Stegostoma tigrinum: one gene and its partners. The protein of the gene in region 3 purifies or fractionates together with the protein of the main gene of each other region. This does not show direct contact. Links are inferred from orthologs where the notes say so. Each region holds a gene or a part of one and is shown on either strand. Other genes may lie near its edges.

What was found.
Region 1: the proteins of cdk1 (region 3) and cdkn1bb purify together in Homo sapiens (affinity purification with mass spectrometry; 8 studies listed by BioGRID and IntAct, counting the BioPlex papers as one, with this or other methods). This does not show direct contact. The link is inferred for Stegostoma tigrinum from reciprocal best matches to the Homo sapiens genes CDK1 and CDKN1B.
Region 2: the proteins of cdk1 (region 3) and ccnd1 purify together in Homo sapiens (affinity purification with mass spectrometry; 4 studies listed by BioGRID and IntAct, counting the BioPlex papers as one, with this or other methods). This does not show direct contact. The link is inferred for Stegostoma tigrinum from reciprocal best matches to the Homo sapiens genes CDK1 and CCND1.

What each region holds. Positions count from the first base shown.
Region 1 is NC_081371.1:28,400,334-28,408,152, reverse strand, and holds the start of cdkn1bb (cyclin dependent kinase inhibitor 1Bb), read right to left. Parts: upstream 3,376-7,819; 5' UTR 3,039-3,375; coding exon 2,558-3,038; intron 2,170-2,557; coding exon 2,045-2,169; 3' UTR 2,030-2,044; intron 514-2,029; 3' UTR 1-513. UniProt on the Homo sapiens protein: Important regulator of cell cycle progression. Inhibits the kinase activity of CDK2 bound to cyclin A, but has little inhibitory activity on CDK2 bound to SPDYA. Involved in G1 arrest. Potent inhibitor of cyclin E- and cyclin A-CDK2 complexes.
Region 2 is NC_081370.1:61,635,463-61,643,512, reverse strand, and holds the start of ccnd1 (G1/S-specific cyclin-D1), read right to left. Parts: upstream 3,376-8,050; 5' UTR 3,156-3,375; coding exon 2,958-3,155; intron 1,542-2,957; coding exon 1,326-1,541; intron 244-1,325; coding exon 84-243; intron 1-83. UniProt on the Homo sapiens protein: Regulatory component of the cyclin D1-CDK4 (DC) complex that phosphorylates and inhibits members of the retinoblastoma (RB) protein family including RB1 and regulates the cell-cycle during G(1)/S transition.
Region 3 is NC_081373.1:51,575,513-51,583,071, reverse strand, and holds the start of cdk1 (cyclin-dependent kinase 1), read right to left. Parts: upstream 3,306-7,559; 5' UTR 3,281-3,305; intron 3,202-3,280; exon of another isoform or gene 3,049-3,201; intron 3,005-3,048; exon of another isoform or gene 2,981-3,004; intron 2,944-2,980; exon of another isoform or gene 2,823-2,943; intron 961-2,822; 5' UTR 864-960; intron 1-863. UniProt on the Homo sapiens protein: Plays a key role in the control of the eukaryotic cell cycle by modulating the centrosome cycle as well as mitotic onset; promotes G2-M transition via association with multiple interphase cyclins.

The sequences.
Region 1 (7,819 bases), on a different chromosome or scaffold from region 3:
GGAAAATTATCTTCTAGATTTCAAAAACATCAATTCTTTATAACATAAATAAGTTAGTATAATTTCTCAGTGTCTTTACAAAGTTATGTACACAGGTACATTTTAGATTTTTTTATTCTTTTAAACATACAATACACAGGTATTGTAACTTTGCAGTTTCTAAACTGCATTGGAAAACTACACTGCTACTATTCAAGTCATACATTTTCTAAACTCTGCATTTTAACAGTTTCCCACTTCCTCCCCTTCACCCCACCCACCCCCCAAAAATGATTTATGTGCTACAAAAAAAAACTATGTACACAGGTAGTAAAATCAGCCAAGTGATAAAGGAAGAACCTAATTGCACAGCGCTATATCCACTCTAAAATCAGCGGTTTAGTGTTCACAAGTTCAGTGCCTGGGCTCTCCACACTTGGAGAGATAACGATATGTCTGTCTCTGAGGAGATCGTCCTCGCTTCATCAAGCACTGCCATGGATGAACAAGGGGGAAAAAAAAGGATCTTCATACCTAACAAGGAAAAATACAAAGTAAAAAGATTAATACAATGTTTGGTAATTATGTATCATTGGAATTACTTAAAATGCTATTTGGCATAGCTACACTGATAATTTCAACTCAGCTGCTGATTACAGGGTACAGTTGGCAAAAGGGTTAAGCAATTGGTTATTCAACTGGACACTGAGCCAACTAATACCATTAGTGCTAAGACTTGTGCACAGATATGATCATGTTATTAACATGATATTTCAATATTTGATTTAAAAATCTAGCAACTGGACAAGTTACACTGCCTGGAAGTAATCAAAAAATGCATTTGTCAGCATGGTGGGACTTTAGACACAAGAACCACATTTAACTAGTTGCTATAATTTTCAAATGCACAAATATGTATTACTTGTTATTGAATATAGTTAGCTGTGGTGCATCCAGGCCTTTCCTTTAAAAAGCAAACTGATTTGCTTTGGGCCAGGGGGGAGATATGGTGAGTGTGGCAGCACTACCTGAAAGAAAGTCACCTATATAGGTTTCTTAAAGAGAGAGTTTTTGGATCTGACTAGTTAGACCTACCAACTTAAAGAAATATCACAACTGCACAGGGCAATATATCTGTAGTCTAATTAGGATGTTTTAAAATCTCAGTGCAAACACACCTTGTTCTATCTGAAACTGATACAGAAGACAGTTTAGCATACACAATACTTCACAAAAAGTAGTGGACAATATTTTCAATGCACGACTTTGACTACGAATGTGGACAGAGCCAAGAAATAAGCATCTCCATTAAATTTTAATTTGTTGAGACTAGCTATTTAAAAAGCTAGCTTCCCCACCACACCCCTTGTTTGTATATTAAACCTGAGTGTACACCACATAGTCCCGCCACTCACATTTTACTACAACTTATAAAATCATAGGGGAAATGAGAGAAACGTTAAAATATATGTGCCATGCAGCTATTCTACAACCTTGGACTCAACCGCAAGTGTAATTTTGAATGCTGCTTGTACATCAGCCGGGGAGATAAAGAACAGCTTCCTCCTGTGATCTGTTTTTAATCGTGATTATTTCTTGTTTTATTGTATTAATGTTGGAAGTTGGCGTAAAGGGAAAAAATGCCCAATGTATAAAGCCTACAAAGACACATTACAGTTGTGGTTGCGCACTCCCCCGCGTAATGTACTACGTTTTCGCAGTCAGTCCTGAGACTTTATTGACAAGACTTGTGCAAAGCAATCTACCGTATTGTGGAGGGAAGGAAAGGACACCCAAGATGTTTAACTTGTGCAGAACGCTACAGTGTATCTGGTTATTTGAAAACAGCTGGAAATAATCACCTGTGCATACGTGTCGGTCAGAAAATATAGCAAAGAAACACGAGTGACATTACAACCCTGTGTACGCTTTCAAACCTGGGCCAGTGAGGCCAACCGGTTAATGCAGTATAAAGTCTTGTTGCTACCTTTGTTGTTATATGATATTTTGGGAGGAGACAGTCAATTGAAAAAAGGTACAGAAGAGCTACCTTGTCACTTTTGCTTTATGTTTGATGCCCGCTCGAAATCGATTTCTTCGGCGTCTTCTCTAATGTATTTATATTGGGAGAATTTGCTGACCAGTCTGACTCCGTCGCTGTGTTGGTTCTTTTTGCTTCTGGAAAGCCATCTATAATCAAGAAAAGCTAAATTAAAATTTGTAAAAAAAAATTCAGTATGATAGTATATTATGTGCGTTACTCCTTAATGAAGGTTCGTCGTGCTGATGGGTAGTAGTCAACCACATCTCAAGCTTGTTGAAGGGGGGAGAAAAGCCGTTTGCTTCATCTTTGTAAAAGGCCTTTGAAGTTGCAGTATCCTTTTTCAAACGTAGGGGAACTCATGCTTAACCCCAAACAGACCAAGAACTGCACGATTTTAAAAGCAGGTCCGCGGAAATATGTGAATAAACCACTGGTTGGCAGTGAAAGCTTCTTTTTGCGCGAAAAAAAAGGTCAGAAAGGTCCGTTTGAAAATGGATCCTGCAACTCCCAATAGAGTACATCTTTGTCACTTACCGACTGACGCAGCTCGTTTTCGGGGACTACAGCACTGCTCTTTTGAGTCCGTGAAATGTTCAGTTGTCTCTTTAACCACGTCCTTTTGCTCTGAATTCGCAAAGTGTGTCTCCCCTGAATTTCCCTGAGCCAGAGTTCCTGCGCAAACTATCGCATGGTTCCCGTTCACATCCATACTGCAATCGGCTGATGACACTTGCTCCCTGGGAGAACCCCAGTAAAAATGAGGCACATCCTTGCAATCCACGGCTTCCCATTTGTAATTCCCATCCAGCGGCTTGTCCCTCTCGAAGTCGTAATTCCACCTCCGCCTGTCCTGCTCGCGGATCTCCTTCTGTTTCTTTTGTAACTCTCGGTTCAACTCGTCGTGGTTTACGGGACCGAAAAGATTCCTGCAGGCTGAAGGTTTTGGGTGCCCTCCTTGCTGAGCTGCCATTCTCTCCAGCGAAGGGCTACCATTAGAAATGCGTACGTTTGACATTTTTTTTCCCTTCGTACCCCCTCTCGCTGCAAATCGTCCGAAGCCTCACAGACAGCAGGACTGCAAGGTTACACGATGTAACAATATCGTGCAATTCTTCAGAAAGCTGCAAAGCACAGAACCACAACAAAAACGCCAACAACAGCAGCAGTTTACAACCTATCGCTCGTCAAAACTGATTCCAGTAAGGCGGAAAAAAAACTGGCTTTTTTTTCAGTTACCCAATATGGCGAAGGAGGCTGACGAAGAGGAAACTGAGTGACGGACAGGGAATTTTAAAAAGAGAGCACCCTGCGATTGGCCGGAGTGAAGCTGCTCCGCCCTTGTCCCGCCCTCAAGTGTAGGGCTGGGACTCGGGAACGAGCTTGCTCTAGGCTGGGAGCGACCTTGTAATGATCTAAAAACGTTTTGTTTATTGACAAGCAATCTCTCTCTTCTCTCCCCCTCCCTCCTCGAAGGGAGAGTGAGAGGTAGGCGCCTATGGAGAAGTATTAGCGAAGCGTGAAACCTACTAAAGAGGAGTCAGCTCGTAGCGCCATCAACCCGACAGCCGCAGCAAACACAGCTCTCCCGCAGCAAACGTGAATTCTCCTACATATTGCATCACTTAGATTCATTGAAGTGACTTTATACCGACTATTAGGGACATTAAAAAAAACATATGACAGCGTAGGAGTGCATTTGGTCCATCGTTTCCGTACTAGACGGGTAAACGTCATCCAGCCTCCCTCCCAGCTTCCAACTCTTGGTCCGTAGCCCTGGACGATAGGGCAGCTCATGAGCACATCCAAGTGTTTTGTTTATAAACCAGCTATCCTACACCTCAAAATGCACATTACTAATTGTTAAAATCCTACAAATGCAGCAAACACCTCGCAATAAATGATCGAGAGTAATCAGGCTATTCATGAAAATTGCTCTCGATGAATGCTCAGACATCCCAAAACTGGAGAATTTTCAGTGAGATGAATGATTTCGCTAATGATTGAGCACAGCCGCAGCACGCATGACCAACCGAGTAACTTTACTGGAAAGTGCTCAAGGGGTTAACAGTGTGTCGGTTATATTTTAAAATCTTAACTGGTTTCCTTTTATGCGACGTAAACATGTTTCTTGGCGGAATTTTTTTAACTCCGATCTTGGACTTTCTGCCAATAACCGCTCTCAATTGTGCAGTTTACCACTTTTGTGGATTAATCATCTGAAACTGGCCGGGTGAGTGCAGAATAAAGGCTATGAAACAATAGTAATGTAGTCGAATTCACAAAATACGGGGTTCTCTTTCTATTTTAAAATATTAACGTGGGTGAGAGTTTGTAAATCATATTTTCATTGTAGATACTGTAGTTTAACTGGCAACTCGTGTCTCCCTTCAGCAATACAGCAGGTGACTGCACAGAGTGCTAAAAGGGCGCGTCAGAAATTATGATGTCGTTTTCAAGAATTAAACATAACCGTAAAAACGTCTTGTAGTTGATTTCTCGGCAGTTGTTTGAGAGCCTTCTAGACGCATTCATAGCTGTTACAAGGTGTTATGTTTAGGAGCTACCCAAGACATCCAGGGATCGCTTTTCGAGACTCGATACGTAAAGGCGACTTTTCCTTCACCTCAGTGTATGTAGTATTTGGGAAACGAAATGAAGACTCAGATCTCACTGTAAAACATGTTCTGTGATTGTATTCCAAGAAAACAGTCAATTTTGGTAAACATTAGGACGTCAACAGAACTGAAATGCAGAGGTCGATCTCACTGTTTGCACATTAATTGCGCTGTGTTTACTTATAAATACTGGGCGCAGCAAAGAAAAATATGAACGGTCTTGATTGTAATGAGGTCGCAAGACAAAAGCTAGAAAGTAACTGATTCAGAAAGTATTTTCAGTGTAAATTATCATTGCTTAGAATTGTTTTATTGTGCTTCGCAATCACACCTAGTATATTTTTGAATCACTCTTTTGGGGACACTGCAGGGAAAGGGCAAACGCCGTATTTGTGTTTCTCTCGGATAAACGACGACTCCTTTGGTAAAACCGTGGAGTAATTTGTAATGTGTTTCAAGATGTATCGCCCAAACAAAGCTGACACAAAGTAAATAAATCTCCGATTTACCCAGAGCACATTTTCCAAATGTAGTTACAATCAGTCTTAGTACACTTGAGCATTATATCCCGCCCCATCTTCGGGGGGCGGGGGGGCGGTGGTGGCTTATAATGCATGCGGAATCACCGATTCTTATATAAGACAAACTTCAGAGAGGTTATCTTAACCATTATGAGTTATTCTTATTAGTTAAAGTACAGCATTTACCCCTGTCACTCAATAATCTAATTTGCGCCAAATTCTGTTAAATCCTTGACAGCGAAACGGGAACGGGATAGTGGAATAGGGAAGAATATCAATGGAGCGTCCAACATTCAGTTAGGATTTTGCATATGAATTGCTATGGGCACATATAGCAGTAGTCTCATATTTGATCTAGCCATTGAAGGATTGTTTATCTCTGTAAAGCCATTCAGACAAGGCATCGGATCGTTGCATTTGTTGCACCTCAATAGCTATGCTGAATTTTGCAACCATGTGCATGACAGTTTGTTGCAAGTTCTTAATGATTGTAATATGGGGAGAATAGAATATGAACCCAACCCAAAACAAAAAAAAACAGCTTATATACGTATATAAATAGGAAAGACAAATGTGGGTCCATGACAAACAGATATGGGGTAATTTATAATGGGAATGGGTACAAGAAATTTCCCAGAAATAATAGTTCAAAGAAACTAATGAATTGAAGAACTGAAAAAAAGGTGTGGTTTAAAAAAATGTAGTCCTGCAGAATTACTGGGACTGAAAATTGAATTGCTGGGATCCAATAATCCACAACCTAGAGTATTGAAAGAGGTGGCTTTAGAGAGAGTGGATGCATTTGTTGTCATCTTTCAAGATTCTATTGATTCTGTATAATACTTCCAAATTGTAAACGTTGAAATATAATGTCATTACTTAAGAAAAACAGCAAAGAGAAAATAAGGCACTGCAGGTGTGGTAGCCTGACATCAGTGATAGGAAAAATAGTGGACTCTATAAAATGTATGGTAGCTGATAATCATCCAATTGGTCAGTGTGAACATGGACGTATGAAATGAAAATCATAATGACAAACGTGTTGGAGTTTTTTTTAGTTGGTAGTGGGGAGCTATTGGACTAGTGAATCTTGTGCACTTGGATTCTGAGAAGCTTGTTGGTAAAGTACCACCTAGGATATTAGTGAGGAAAATTAGAGCATGTGGGATAAAGGGCAATATACTAGCATGGATTGAATCTGGTTAACAGAAAGAAACAGATGGGTAAAAGATTAGTGTTTGGGCCCTAGGTGTTCACAATCTATGTCAATGATTTGGAAATGAGGACCAAATGTAATATTTCTAAGTTTGCTGATCGCACATAACTAAGTGGGAATCTAAATTGTGAGGAGGATACAAAGAATGGGAAAAAATATGGCAGATGGAATTTAATATGAATAAGTGTGAGATTATTCACTTGTGATAGGAATAATGAGGTGCATAGTATTTCTTCAGAAATTGAGCAGTGTTTATGCCCAAAGGGGAAAATGGTCCTTGTTCATAAGTCACTGATAGATGACATACAGATGCGGCAAGCAATCAGGAAGGTGAATGGCATGTTGGATTCTATTACAAGAGGATTTGAGTAAACAGTAAAAATGTTTTGTTTCAATTGTATAGAACCTTGGTGAGACCATATCTGAAGTATTGTGTATAATTTGGTCACCTTATCTAAGGAAGGATATACATGCTGTAGAGGGAACTCCAGAGTTTCCCCAGATTAATTCCTGTAATTGAGGACTGATTGAGGAGGCTGGGCCTATGTTCACTAACATTTAGAAATGTACAAATTTTTTAAAGAACTGGACAAGTTGGGTGTGGAACAATATTTCCCCTAGCTGGGAAAGTGGAGGTGTTAGTCTAAAAGAATTTTCTGCCACACAGGGCACTGTTGCATTATGTTCAAGGCATAAGTTAATAGATTTCTAACATCAAGTGTTATGGGGATAGAGTGGAATGATTGGATTGATGTAGATGATCAGCCATGATCAAATTTAGTGGAATGAACCCAAGTGAATGGTCTACTCTTGCTCCAATGTTCCCATACACTAATATTTTGGAACATTGTCGGAGCCTTCAAAAATGTCTCAGATTGGAATATGGGGAAGAAAATTTTGAAAGAGTCCCAAGTAGAGAAGAAAATAAATCAACAGAAAGAAAAGCAGGAAGGGGAAACACAAAGGGTGAGAAATGAACAATGGGGCAACAATCCAGACATAGGAGTGTATTCAAGGGTGAAGAGATGGTGGATATCATGCATTATGTGGCCACCGGTGGGGAGTGCAGTGGTTATTGGATGGGTAGGAAAGTTATTGGAGGGATTTGAAAGAGAATCCAGTTCTTTGCAGCAGTAGGAAGCTACTTGAATTTGGTGGTGTAATGGTAATAAGGCCTTCATGTAGGAGATGGAATAGCTGTAACATTCTCAGTACCTGTGATTTTTAAATGATAGAATTGGGACAGTTATCATTGGAGGAGAGTAGTAATCGACCTATAAATGTATGGAATTGGGTTTTGATGGGAAAGAAAGACAGATGGGTAAAAGGCAGGCATTGTTGTAGAAGTGAAACAAAGGCGGCCTGGTGCGTGCTCGATTGACTATAGGGAAGGAAGCAGTTAAAGCTTGAACAGTACAGCATGAGGTAGCAGCCAAGGATAAGA
Region 2 (8,050 bases), on a different chromosome or scaffold from region 3:
CTTGGCCCCTACCATTCAGGAAGATGAACAGTAATTCCACTTCCCCCCCAGCTTGACACAGTTGTTTGAGTGAGACTCCGTACCTGTAGCACATAGAGCCACAAATGTCTGTGCATGTTTGCGGATGATCTGCTTGCTGTCCTTGGGTATGGGTAGCTTGTTGAGGAAGTGTTCAATGAAATCGTGGGGGGTCACAGAGGCTAGATCCCACTTCAGCTTGTTGAGCACAAGCAGCTCCATTTGCTGAAACAGAAACATACACATGTGGGCTGTGCCAGTCCTGCAGCAGAGACTGATAGATTGTACTGTACTTTAAACAAATGACTAAAATGGGCTGGGAAGTGCTTCTGTTGAGAATAAATGTATTTTAGATACCACTGGCATATTTGCAAAACGTATTGCTGGAAAATAGATACTTAATATGCTTCCGCATTGTACCAAAGTTAGGAAAAAAATAAAATCACTGTTGTAAATGTTGAGTTTAAACAGAGTCTGTATGTTGTGCGCAACTGTGACCTATGGAATACATTTTTAAAAAAACAAAAGAAATAAACTAATCTGCTCTTGATTTGATATCTAATCGACAGGACGCTGTTCAGAGCAGGGTCCCAGCAGGGTACAGCCGCTGATCTCAAAAGAGGGCGCCACCCCCTCGCAATTGCCTTCCGCCTCAGAAACAAGGGGAGTGGGGCTAAAATATTAAGTTCAGTTCCTCTGCATTTGAGGTCCTGCACGCTCCACTTTATAAAACCCCAGAACTGTTCAGTGTTCAACAACAGAAGTCTGGAACACCGAGAATCTACAAAACAAAAACGAAAAATCCCTCAAGCCCTACTTCTAAAACTCAGTGACAACGTTCGAGATTCCTTTTGCAACAGTTTCTTTTCCGGCTATTGGACTGGGGGAAAGCGGAAATAATTGTCAGCGCACGATGATAAAGAAAATTATTGGGGGTTCCCAAATTGGAGGGGCTTGTGAATGGGATATAGATGCTTGTGTTTTATTTGTGTGTAGGGGGGGGGGGGCGCGTAGGGGATCTGTGAAACATTGCTTCTGATTAACTTGAGGAGCATTAGGAAGAGACTTGCAAATTGAGTATCACTGAATACTCCTTAAATGCGAGAATCTGGTTGAAAGTGTCTGTGTTTGCACAATATCTGGGGGGGGGGGTAGAGCTGGGAAGGAGTTACTGCTGGTGATACATTGGAGGAGGAGATATTCAAGGAAGATTGAGAGAGAGTTCTGAGGACTGAGATTTGAGCTCAGATAGAGGGCATTGGCGTTTTTTTTGGGGGGGCGGACAGGGAAAGAGATTGGCTATTTACCAGTAATTCCTCGGGCCGGATAGAGTTGTCGGTATAAATGCACAATTTTTCCGCTGTTAACGGAATCGTTTCCTTCATTTTTGACGCCAGGAACATGCAAGTAGCTCCCAGTAATTGCAAGTGGGTCTTCTTGGTCAGTTCGATCGACAGGTATCTATCCAAATAATTCATGGCCATCGGAAACACCTCTTCCTCGCATTTCTGCTCCTCGCAAACCTACAGAAGGGGCAACACCACAAAGTGGAAAATTACCTGGAGGGTGCCGGGGGGGGTTATTCCACACACCCGTAACCCCCCCAAAAAAATTCTCACCCTCCATCATTTCTCCTTCTCACCCTTTTCTCAGACCCAGGAATTTGGACTGAGTTGGACAGACAGACAGACTCCCCTCCTCCTGTCTCTCTCCCTCTTTCCCAAACCCGGCTTGAATTTTCGCGTCGTCATCTTTTCAAAAAATATTTAAAAATATTTAAAAATTAGCCCGGGCGCCCAAAAGGGGACGAAAATCCAGCGCAACCGGCGCTCTTTCTAACTGGCCAATGCTGGGGGCATTTTCAGGTGGTTAAACTTGCCAAAGGGAGTGAAATGAGAGTCCCCCCGGGGGTAACGCTGCAATCTGCGCCCCGATCATAAACCAGCCGCTGCGCTCCTTCAAAAAATGATTAAAAATACTCATCGAGGGCGGAACAGCACGGAAACAGCACGAAAATGTGCAGCGGGCTCTCAACTTTGTACCGGGCGCCTTCTCCAGCCCTCTGACCCCACTTTTGCCCATGAATTTGAGACCTTTCTCCCCGAGAGGGGTCAGATACACAGGGTCTGGGAAGTTTTGGCTGAGACCCTGACTTTGGAGGAAATCTCTGTCAGTTTCACACCCGGAAATTCAGCAACATTCCCCCCGCAACCCTGGGCTTGCCACCCTCCCAAAGAGGTAAAAAGCACCCCCCCCATCCTTGCCCAGACCCAGTGAGGCGTTTGGAAGGGGAGGGGGTTCTCGAGTTATTCTGAACAAAGATGGCGTTGAATACTGGCACGCATTGAGCTGCATACGTGTACAACCTCATTTTGGGGTTAAAATTCATTTCTGAGCCCCAGGAGCTGGGGCCGAGGGACAGAGAGAGGGGTAGATGGGCTGGGTGACTGGGATACGGCATTGAGAGCGTTTTCTCCTTTTCCATAGCAGCCTCCCCCCATCGACCGGCCCTTCCAATACATCACCTCACCTTACTGCCCCGTAACCAGCTCATGGTCAGGGGTGAGTGTGGGTCTGTTTGTGGGCACACAGCAAAGGGTGTGGGAGGGAGGTGTTTAGAGGACAAGAGGGAGAGAGAGCGGTAAGAGGAACTGCATTTAAAACATTACATCAGTAACCCCACTCAGATGGAAAGCAAGGAAAGCGGGATGGCTGGGATGCGGGGCGGGGGTGGAATTTACAGGGGTCTCTATGACAAATTCAACAGTTGTGCCGCCAGCTTGCAAGTTTAAAAAAAATCTGGGCAGAATCGGGCTGCACTGACGTCCTGCAAAGCACAAATGTCAGGTCCTGCACATCGTTCGATACCCAGAGTATAACTACAAGAGAGAGAGAGAGAGAGAGATATCTAGGTTCTGTATAAGATTCTGTGCACAAACCTCCAGCATCCAAGTCGCAACAATCTTCCTCATGGAAGGCGCAATGTCTTTTTGGACGCACTTGAAATAGCTGAGAGAGGGCAGGCTGTTCTCTTCGCTTCTGAGCATAGTCTGCAGGACACGATCATTGATGAGATTGGGATCGTTATAAGCTCTTCTGATAGCCTCTCCTTCGCAACATAGCAGCTGATGTTCCATTGCTAGGGCGCTCTGCTCTGCTCTCTCTCTCTCTCTCACCCCTTTCCTTCCTTTCTTTCTCTCTCTCCTTATTGCATTGACTAAAGCAAGGGATGCTGCTGCCTCTGGAGGCTCTAGTTCAGGGGAAAAAAAACTTTAACTATAACTTGCCCGCGAGTGACGCAATCGGCTTTGAGTTGTTATGTAGAGCAGCTGCGGCTGGGAAGATCAAAGGAGGAACGAGAGAGGCCAACCCGGGGGGTGGGGGTGTGTGTGTGTGTGTGTGTCTGTGTGGGTTGGGAAGGGCAACGGAGCTGATAAAGCCGCCCCCATTCCGAAGCAAGATCCACTCAAATTCAACCTTATTGCGGCGACGGGGGCTTATTTTGAAACTTTTGTGTGTGTGTCTAGGAGCCGGACATGTTCCCAGATCTGTGTGCAACATTGCACACTTACATATTTGCAAAAATTAAACCTCAGTCCTTGCATTCAGTGGGAACTTGTACTCAGCTGTCAGTCATCCCACGATTGACTGACAGTTCAGTGAAAGTCGCGAGCATTGGGTACAATGGGAGCAGAATTAATGTTAAAAATAAGATTTATTCTACACTGAAAACCTCTAGGTCCGTGCAAAGCAGCCGCGCACGCATATATCTGAGGAAGCGATTACTGTGCCCACTGGGATAAAACATGCATTTTGGTGCATTATGATCATTTGCATTTGTGCAAAATTCCGACCCCATGGTTATTAATTTTTCACTGCTGCTACGACAGCTTCGCAATCCAGGGGTCAGCCTAGTCTATCCCCAACGCTTCCTGCTTTGCATGTGCTCCTCTTCCCGGCTTCTTTATTTCTGCGTGTTTTTTAAAAAAAACAAAAACTCTCTCTTCACTTGAAAAAGATTTTTTTTCTCTCTCCGGAATCGGGGTGGAGGGGAGGGATGAAGTTCAGTTGGCAAAACTTGCTCGGTCTGTCAGAGGAAACCCCTTACGCCGGTAGAAATAAGAGGCGAAGGTATTAGCATAGCCAATGGCGGAAAAGATTGTTACTAGGCAGATCAACGAGCCCGGAGCCTCAGCGATCATCGATCACTCAGGCATCCAGCGCCGTCTCTTTTGTTCGAAGGAATGTGGGCGCTCACAATGGAGTTTGATCGGGGGGGCGGGGGGCCGGGCGTGCGGCTTGAAAAATCGGGATCACCTTGATGTAAATGTGTTGCATTGTTTTAAACACACACTGTACTGAATCACAGTTCCTTTCTGTTTTACAGAATTGCAAAACTTTTCAATCAAGCCCTTTGTAACCTTTGCTTTAATGGTGATTCAGAGATAAGATCGTCTTATTTTTAATTCATTGTGGCTGGCCTGTTATTTTCTCTTTCTAATCGCTCCTATAATTTTATTGAATGGTGAGAAAGATTACCCCCTCCCCTCCCTTTCTCCGTCTCTTAGAGTCTTATTTCTTTTCCCCTTTCTCTCTCTCTCTCTCTCGCTGTGAATTTTGTCGCATGATCATTAATGGAAGCCGGGACATTCCTGAGATTCCAAGTTGCTCCTACATTAACAGCTCCACATGCTCCGCTTGCATCTAATTACCGTAATACAGCTAAGCTATTGTTCCGAACAGAGGAAGCTTTTGCCGAGCAACTCAGATCATTTGTCAAAACGGATGTGAGGAGGGATCTGTGCATTTCACTTAAAATATACACACACACCACCACGCACAGAAACGACGCTACTGATTGCCTGAAGATTTCGCCTCGCAGTCCTGCAATGACCCCCCCATTCCCGAAAAACACCGCTCCCAAACATTCCTGTGTGTCAGCATTTGTAGCAAATAAAATTATAATCCTATTATTAGGATCTATTTTTAAAGAGTGAGAAAAAATAACAAAACAAAGGGCTGGACCGGGCTAGGGCGTGGGGTACTGTTTTATTGCAGAGGAGGGCTTGGGAACGGAACGCTGAGGTAACATCTCTCCAACTCTGCCCCTCACTCGCCGCCAGTGCGAGAGCAAATTCAGCGCAGAGCGGGCGGAGGGTCGGAAGTCACGTTTTGTAGACTTTCACTTCCCGGCGCGATGATGCTGTGTATTGTGAAATTCTGCCTTTTGGGGCAGGGGGAGCTTCTTTATTTTAAAATAAAATAGTAGCGGTGGAAATGAGAGCGTGGGTTTACTTTCAGGCTCACATCTAAACGGTGGCCGCGGTCTGGCCTGTGACTCTTAATATCGAAACTAATTTTCACTGAAAACTGGAACGCAATTCCATTTTCAAAGAGGAGGCGGTGACCCATTCCGATCGCCATGAGAAAGTTCAGAGAAATTAACAAAAATACACAGAAACAAGTTGCTGATTGAACTTCTAAAAAAAATCTCCATTAAGCGCTCCACACACAAAATAAAATAAAAATGTTGCCGATAATATCGCTGTAAACCTTCCTGGCGTGTTTTTATTCAACCCGGATTTTCGCTGACACTCGAAAGCGTGTCAGCACAGAGTGTGGATGGCGGCGCTTACACAGGTTAGTACGGTAGGTGTGTTAACTGGACAGGTAACCCAGTGCTGTTCCAGGTAGGCGGAAAATGACTGAGGCAGCGATAAGCGTCACGACAAGTTTGTAGGCAAAGATGAAAGATTAATATGGATTGTTTCGGTATCTAATCTCCAGAACTAAACTAGCCGCTATTACTGGCAAAAGGCTATATATGTATAAAATCTCACGCCTTTCAACACGCTGCTGTTTGATTTACTGATTTCATTTACGAAGAGTTTTTTTTAAATATTGACGATGGCAGATTTTCGGAAGAAGGGTCCAGACCCGAAACGTCAGCTTTCCTGCTCCTCTGATGCTGCTTGGCCTGCTGTGTTCATCCAGCTCTACACCTTGTTATCTCAGATTCTCCAGCATCGGCAGTTCCTGCCATCTCTGCAGGTTAACCCAGTTGTCATTTTGGAAGAAAATGCCAGAGCAACTCAGCGAGTCTGGCAGCATCTGTGGAGAGAGAAACACTTTAACGCCTCTGGATCAGCGATCATTCTTCAGAACTTGCCTCATATTAATTTCCACCAAAACGGAAAGCCTCGCTGCTCAGTTGCATGTTTTCTTTGTTCTTTCATAGGATTATAGGCATTACTGGCAAGGGCAGTGTCTATTGGCCGTCTCTAATTGCCCTCAAACTCAGTAGTTTAGAAACATAGAAAATAGGAACGGTAGAAGGCTATTCAGCCCTTCTAAGCTGCCACCCCATTCCATATGATCTTGCTGATCATCCAACTCAGTTTCTGTTTTCTCTCCGTATTCTTTGACCCCTTTAGTCTTAGCAACTATATCTACCTGCTTGACAAAATTCGATGTTTTGGCCTGAACGGCTTTCTGTGGCAGAGAATTCCACAGGCTCCCCACTCTTTGGATGAAGACATTTATCCTCTTGTCAATCCTAAATGGCCAGCACTGTATCTTGAGATTGTGAGCCCTGGTTCTGGACTCCCCAGCTATCGAGAATATTCTTCATGCATCTACCATGGTTAGTTCTTCTGGAAATTTATAGATTTCTGTGACATTCTTCCTCATTATTCTAAACTCCTGTGAATATAGTCCAAACTGATCCTGTCTCTCTTCATAAACCACTCCTTTCATCCCAAGAATCAGTCTGGTAGACCTTCACTGTGCTCCCTCCACAGCCAGAACGTCCTTCCACAGGTAAGGAGAGCAAAACTGCACAAAATATTCCTGATGTGGTCTCATCAAGGCCCTGTACCATTGCAGAAAAACATCCCTGTTGTTTTTTTTGGCAATTGAGTGACATTTATGAACAAAATTATTTATCTTTCTTGCTTACGTAAAACCAAATGTGGCAATGGTAAGAGTTCTTAAAACTGTACCCCCCCCCCATATCATTGTGTCACACCTCTACACACAATTGGTCACCTGGCTATAGGAAGGATATTATTAAATTGGAGAGTGTTCAGTAAAGATTTACCAGGATGTTGTTGAGAGTGGTTAGTCTGAGCTACAAAAATAGGCTGGATAGGTTGGGACTCATTTCATTGGAGCGTAGGAGGTTGAGGAGTGACTTTAAGATAATAAAGTGTGGGGCTGGATGAACACAGCAGGCCAAGCAGCATCTCAGGAGCACAAAAGCTGACGTTTCGGGCCTAGACCCTTTATCAGAGACGGGGATGGGGAGAGAGGGGGAGGTGGACCGAAGATGGAGAAAAAAGAAGATAGGTAGAGAGGAGAGTATAGGTGGGGAGGTAGGGAGGGGGTAGGTCAGGCCAGGGAAGACGGACAGGTCAAGGAGGTGGGATGAGGTTGGTAGGTAGGAAATGGAGGCACGGCTTGAGGTGGGAGGAAGGGATGGGTGAGGAAGAACAGGTTAGGGAGGCAGAGACAGGTTGGACTGGATTTGTGATGCAGTGGGGGGAGGGGAAGAGCTGGGCTGGTTTTGTGATGCAGTGGGGGGAGGGGAAGAACTGGGCTGGTTTTGGGATGCGGTAGGGGAAGGGGAGATTTTGAAGCTTGTGAAGTCCACATTGATACCATTGGCCTGCAGGGTTCCCAAGCGGAATATGAGTTGCAACTCATATTCCGCTTAGGAACCCTGCAGCCCAATGGTATCAATGTGGACTTCACAAGCTTCAAAATCTCCCCTTCCCCTACCGCATCCCAAACCCAGCCCAGTCTGTCCCCTCCCCCCACTGCATCACATAACCAGCCCAGCTCATCCCCTCCACCCACTGCATCCCAAAACCAGCCCAGCCTGTCTTCGCTCCCTAACCTGTTCTTCCTCTCACCCATCCCTTCCTCCCACCTCAAGCTGCACCTCCATTTCCTACCTACTAACCTCATCCCACCTCCTTGACCTATCCATCTTCCCTGGACTGACCTATCCCCTCCCTACCTCCCCACCTAT
Region 3 (7,559 bases):
ATACAAGCTATGAACCAAGAGGTCTTGATTTCTTAACCAAGAATTCCTATCAGTCTACACTTTTACAATCTTTTACCCCACCCAGACTTCATATCTTTTACTGCACTCAGATCATCCTTCACCTTTTCCCACATCACCCAGCATCATGCTATGACCAAACAAATTTTCCTTCCCTTTAAAAAAATTCCACATACTGTGAACCAGTGTGCCAGAGGGAACAATCATACTGACAGGTCTGCCCTCAGGATTCAACAATTTTAGACCTGTTCCCTCCTGTTAACTTTCCTGTGGGAGCTGATGATTCTCTTAACCCTATTCCTATCTCACATTCATTCTCTTAAAATGACCTGCCAAGTAGCTCTCACCTGGAGAGCATTTAGTATTTATTACTTGAACCATAGTCAGTCGGTTTCTATGTAGCCAAACTGCACTACTTTTGATTACACCGTATAATTTACTCCCTGCAGTAAAGGGAATCAGTTTTTGCAGTATGCCAAGGAATCACTGCAGTTCATTCTTAACTTCTTCTCCCTTCCTTTGGCTGGATACTAACAATTGGTTTTAATGCCCTTGATCAGTTATCCTTGAATCTGCCTGTAGATCTTCTGACAAGTTATTATCAAAATATAAATTGGACAATGCAACAATCTGGTGATAATTGTGACAGAGGGGAAGATAGATATGTTTGACTTGGATGTGTGTTGTTATGCATTTTGGTTCCCCCAAGAAAGCTCTACCTCATTGTCATTGTGATAGTTGCCTGTAAATTTTGAAGAAAACTTGGAAAGTTCATAATGTTAAACAACAGGTGAAGAACTTACAAAGGATCAAGAGGTTAAAATTTAAAATATCAGAAAACTTACCCGTATTAACAGGCAAAAGACCCAGGTTAAATCTTCTAGGAATAACTTTGATACAGGTTGATCCTTGCAGCTTTGACCAGTGTAATGGACAGATGGTCTGTTGAAATTCAGATAAGCCCATATGTTACAAATTTCTTCCGTACCTTGACTTTAGATGAAGAAAATTACAAGCAGTAAAACTGACCTAATGTCAGCAATACAGCATATAAAGAGGGGGGCTGGTATCAGAATTTCTCCAGATTGACAGTCTTGGCGACTCTAAAGCATCCAATTAAGTGAGAAGAATAATTAATATTCTTCACAATTGAACCACTATGGTACTGGCCAACGAGCATGATTGGACATCATAACTAAAACATGCCAAAGCCCACACTTTCCAGAGGAGGTCACGAGGCAACCACCTACAGCATGAAATAACCAGATTTTCCAGACCCACGGTCCAACAGCCTTTCTGGCCATGACATTCATTGATAGAAGCAGATAATTTCAGAATAGTGATAACACAGGTTGGGTGGAAATAGATAGTCATGCAGTATGTTCATGGCAGGTGCCCAAAACAGCTAGTCTCACCAGACCACTTTTCACGATTTCTCTTCAGAGAAAAAAAACTCTTCTAAAATCTATAACTGAGACTGCCTTCATAACATTCTCAGGCACTGCATTCTAGATTCTAACCACTTGCAGATGAGAAAGATTGCGCTTCATGTCACTTCATGTCCTTAAATCAGTGATTCTTCCAAGATCAGGAACAGTTTCACCCTATCCATGCAATTTAGGCTCATGTGGTACAGTATGGAAAGTATTTGTTGAGGTCAAATCAGTTTTACAAAGGTTCACCATAATTCCCTTGCTTTTGTATGCTTTTACAGCACAGAAGAAACAATTTAGTCAATTATGTTTAAGGAGAGAGAGGAAAGATTTAAAAGGGACCCAACAGACAACTTTTTCACACAATATGTAACAGAATGAGCTGCCATAGGAAGTGGAAGCTTGGAAAAATTACAACATTTAAAAGGCATTTGGATGGGTCTATGAACAGGAAAGGTTTAGAGGCATACAGGCCAAGTAGTGGCAAATGGGACTAGATTAGTTTAGGATAACTGTTCGGCATGGACGAGTTGGACAAAAGGGGGATGGCAATGACGTGGTTGTATTATTGCTGGATTGTTAATCCAGAGACCACACAACATTCTGGGGACCAGAATCCCACCACAGCAGATGGGGGAATTTGAATTCAATAAAATATCTGGAATTAAAACTCTAATGACAACTGTGAATCCATTGTCAATTGTCAGGAAATACCCACCTGGTTCACTAATGTCCTTTAGGGAAGGAAACTACCTTCCTTACCTGGTCTGGCCTACATGCGGCTCTAGACTCAGCAATATGTTAGACTCTGAACTGCCTCTGGGCAATTACGGATAGGCAATAGTGCTGCCAAGCCAGCAACACCCTCATCCCATGAATGTATTAAGAATGAAGATCATGCTGTACATCTCAATCGCTACATCTTTGACAGTTATGAGTCCTCAAGCCCAGTCCCATTTTTAACTATCAAAAGTACTGTGAGCGTACAGATTGTTAAATAAAAACAAAGCGCTGGTGAGATTCAGTGGGTCTGGCACTATCTTTGGAGAAATAAATATTTCAAATGCGATAGGACCCTTCTTCAGTACTGGAATGGTGATGATTTTTCCAATTCTTGGTCCGTAATTCTGTAGTTAATAGCACCACAAATACACAAGTATGTTAAAGGCACAATTCGTTCAGGTATTACGACCCCTTTGGATGCGAAAAGTTACTTACTTCACCTCTAAACCAATTATTTCAAATTTTGTCCGCGGTTAATGATCTCGCTACTCTTATAATAGAAACCGCTCTTAAACCCCCTCAGCCTCATCTAACCAAAGCAGATTGTTGGTCAACTCTACAAAAACAGGAATAAACATCGACACTAACAATTACAGCAGGTGCTACAGCCGTGAGTTTAAAAAAATAGGTTCACGTGTAGCCTTCAGAAGTTAGTCTGACGACCACCCTTCCAACCACTACCACCTCGGGCACGTCCAGGAGGCCCAGATTCAGCCCGGGCCTGAGGTTTGCCACCCCCGACGTACCCCTCGAGCCGGGCGATGGGAGGGGATCTCCCATCGCCCGGGAGGCGGTTTTTATTCCTGGTCCCCACCTGCCGCCGGGGCCAACCTGCAAGCAGCGCGGCGGCGATGACGAAGGGGCTGCTGTAACAGGCCGAGCAGCGCTGGGCTGACACAGAGAGACCAACACTACCCGTTGCCGTGCCCGCTCCCGCCGCAGTTTGAACGCCACTCGCTCGCTCTTCCCCCTCCAACCGCTCCCTCCCTGATTCAAACCCGTAGCCAATCCGCGCCGCCATTTGGATTCAAAGGGGCCAATCAAACCGGGGGAGCTCGCTGAGGTCCTTCGCCCAGCGCTTAGGTGGCCAACGAGAAAGGCGCGAAACGCCGGAGCTCAGCGGTAGCGGTGAATGGGCGGGGCCTGGAGGCGGGGCGGGGCCTGACCGTCAGTCTGCTTCCGACCGTGGGGCGGGGCCCCAGGATGGGCGGAACCTGCGGACGGGGCGGGATTTGACGATGGGGCGGGGCACGTCGATGAGGCGGTGTCTGGGGACGGGGCGATGTTCGATAGTGGGGAGGGGCCCGATGATGGGGCGGGGTCTGACCGTGGGGCGTGGTCCGATAAAGGGCGGGGTCTGACGATGGGGCGGGGCATGTCACCACTGGTAATAAAATGTGAGGCTGGATGAACACAGCAGGCCAAGCAGCATCTCAGGAGCACAAAAGCTGACGTTTCGGGCCTAGACCCTTCATCAGAGAGCTGGGTCACCACTGGGTCTGGAATCAGGCAGGGAACTTTGGAGGCGGTCAGGGACGGCCCGAAACTTGAGCGCAAACTTGGATTGTTTTTCCGGTTGCTGGATTTTTTTGTTTCGCTAAAGGTTTGAGGTGAGCGGGCGGATTTTAAATGGCAGGTTTTGGCACTGTTATTGCCTCCTGCCTTGTAAGATATTGGTTTGCACCCTGGTGGTCAGCATCTCCTGAGGTGGCTCAGGTGACCCGAAGCTCTCTGCATTTGTTGGAGAGGAAGATACTAGTCATTTTTGAACTCACATATTGGCACAGATTAGATTAGATTCCCTACAGTGTGGAAACAGGCCCTTTGGCCCAACAAGTCCACACCGCCCCTTGGAGCATCCCACCCTATAAGCCACACACCCTTGAACACTATGGGCAATTTAGCCTGGCCAATCCACCTAACCTGCACATCTTTGGACTGTTGGAGGAAACCGGAGCATGTGGAGGAAACCCACGCAGACACGGGGAGAATGTGCAAACTCCACACTGACAGTAGCCCGAGGCTGGAATCGAACCTGGTTCCCTGGTGCTGTGAGGCTCAGTGCTAACCACTGAGACACCATTCCGCCCCCAAAATTGGCTTTGGATTTGACTCAGGGGAAGGGTTTTTGGGGGATCCTCTTCTTGACCTGCTGAACTGTTCGTTTCTGGTCACATTTCCCAATGACCTTCAAAAACAGCCAACCTCAGAACCAGCCCAATCACCAAGTTGACATGGAGGGTGGGTAAAATCAGAAGAAATAGGGACTATTTCTGAAGAAGGATCCAGACCCGAAACATCAGCTTTCCTGCTCCTCTGATGCTGCTTGGCCTGCAGAGTTCATCCAGCTCCACACCATGTTATCTCAATTCTCCAGCATTGGCAGTTCCTACTATCTCAGAAATAGGGAGTAGTTGTGGGCCATTCAGCCCCTCAGATGTGTCCCCTCATTCAAACAGATCATGGAATGTCTGATTGTGGCCTCAACTCAATTTTCCTCTTACGCCCTCCTCGTGCCCCACGATCATTCAGATCTGTTCAAACCTTGTTGACAAATTCTTAGCTTCGCTTGAATGGCCCGAAAAGTGAGGTCTTTTTATGACCTTGGAATCCCTACAATGTGTAAGCAGTCTACGTGGCTCATCAAGTCCACACCAATCCCCTGAAGAACATCCCACCCAATCCCTGTAAACCTTGCATTTCCCACACTAATCCACATAGTCTGCACACTACAGGCAATTTAGCATGGCCAATCCATTTATCCTGCACATCTTTGGACTGTGGTTGGAAATCTGTGCAGACACAGGAATAACATACAAAGTCCACACAGTCACTCAAGGGTGGAATTGAAGCCAGGTCCCTGGTGCTGTGATGCAGCGGTACTAACCGCTGAACCACTGTTTTGTCTTTCTAAGGGGCTTAAACTCAGTGTGCCTACATGTCTGTTCCAAGCTGCTTTCAAAAAGACTTTCTGTTTTAAGGTTTTGTTTTCAGTTTTCAGACATGCACGCATATTATACTTGACCAGCGATAGGTATTGGAAAGGAATAAAGGATCAGATGTTTTATTAAAGCCATTTCAAGAATTATCTTATCGATAAACTCAGAACCACCTACCATGGCCAGGTGTTTATGAACAGTTCTGGCTGCACAGTTTTACAACGCACGTTCTTCTTGAGTCATTTCTCATGCAGCCGTCTGATGCTGCTAAAATAAAAAGCTCCCAATTCCCATATGTGCTGGGTACCAGGGAGATTAAAGTTACCCATGATCATTGCCGTCCCTTTATATTACAAACACCCTATATACTTTGTTACACACTGTGCCACCTTTGAGTAACATTGCTAATCATCCATCTTTATCTAACTTGCTTTTGTTTTCGAATATCATATACTTGCAATATTCAGGATCCAATCCTTCTTGTCCTGCAGAGATAATAGGAACTGCAGATGCTGAAGAATCTGAGATAACAAATGTTTCCGTAATGGCCCTCAGATTGTATTTCTTAATTTCACTGTGCACTATCAAGATATTTACTTTATTATAAATGCAGTGCAGATTCTTAAGCAGAGACATTAGTTTTGTTTTTTATTGTCTTTGTGACATTTAGTCTTGATTATTGGAGTATTCCTGGTTTATCTCTCTGACCCTCAATTCCCACATAACTGTTTACCTCTCTTACCCAGTCTCCACTTTCTGACATGCCACATCCAGTGTCTTAGTCCTCACTGTTAAATTTCACAAGAGCATTGGGTCCAGCGCAGTTCTGGATATAGACTGCCCCAAGAGTACAGTCCCCACTTCTCCCAGCTCTTGTGACAGTGGCCTACAAACCAGAACCTATATCCCCCACTCCAATCATTGAGCCATGTATTCACCTCTCTAACTTTATGTCCCCATGCCAATTTGTACACGGCGCAGGTAGTAATCCAGAGATTCAAACCTTTGAGGCTCTGCTTTTTAATTCCGTGCCTGGCTTCTCATACTCCCGGTCCAGAACCCCTTTCCTAACTCTCTCTCTGTTGTTGGTACCTACATGGACCATGACAACTGGATCCTCGCTGTTGTGCTGCAGGTCACTGTCCAGTTTTGAGCAGATAGCCTGAGTCCTGGCACTGGACAGGCAGGATAGACACCTGGACTGTCACTGTTTGCTGCAGAGTGTCAGTCCCTTTCATTGTACGATCCCCTGCTTCCACTATGTTCCCTGTTTTTCTCTTGACTCAAGTGGTTTCCTGTACCACAGTGCCAGAGTCAGTTTTTTTTTTATCCAGCCCGCAACTCCTGTTCTCATCCAAACAGGCTTAGAGAACCCCACAGCTATTGGGCAATTGCACAGACTGGCATTCTGTGCCCTGCATTCCCTTAGCTGCCTGACAAATACAGCCTACTCACCCTGAACACTGACCAAATCAGAAGACTCTATCCTAAGTGGTATGACTGCCTCCTGGTATGGGAAAATCCAGGTAACCTTCCCCCTCAGTCATACATCACAGTGTCTCTAGTTCAGCCTCGTTCATAAGCTCCCCGCTGAAGCTAAGCTCTTACCACAGACACAGTGTAGAAGCAGGCCGTTCAGCCCATCAAGTCTAAACCAACCTTCCAAAAAGCACCCCCTAACCCTGCTAATCCACCTAGCCTAAGCATCCCTGGACACTACAGGCAGTTTAGATTAGATTAGATTCCCTACAGTGTGGAAACAGGCCTTTGGCCCAACAAGTCCACATGACCCCTTGAAGCATCCCACCCAGACCCATCCCCCCATAACCCACACACCCCTGAACACTATGGGCAATTTAGCATGGTCAATCCACCTAGCCTGCACATCTTTGGACTGTGGGAGGAAACCGGAGCACCTGGAGGAAACCCACGCAGACACGGGGAGAACGTGCAAACTCCACACAGACAGTTGCCCGAGGCTGGAATTGAACCCAGGTCCCTGGCGCTGTGAGGCTGCAGTGCTAACCACTGAGCCACCGTGCCGCCCAGCTTGGCCGTTTAGCTTGGCCAGTTGACCTAACCTGCACATCCTTGGACTGTGGGAGGAAACAAGAGCGCCCAGGGGGATCCCATGCAATCACAGGGACAACGTGCAAACTCTATGTAGACAGTTGCCTGGGGCTGGAATTGAACCTGGGTCCCTTGCAGTGTGAGGCTTACCAGTGAGCCACACTCCATGGGCTGCCATGTGCCGCAGACTTCACAAACATCTGAACTACTGCCATAATGAGTTTTGATTATACTGCTCACTTACTTCTATTGCTATCTTTATATTGTATTAACCTTACCACTAATTTGTATGCTATGTTAAAATTAAGGATAGAAA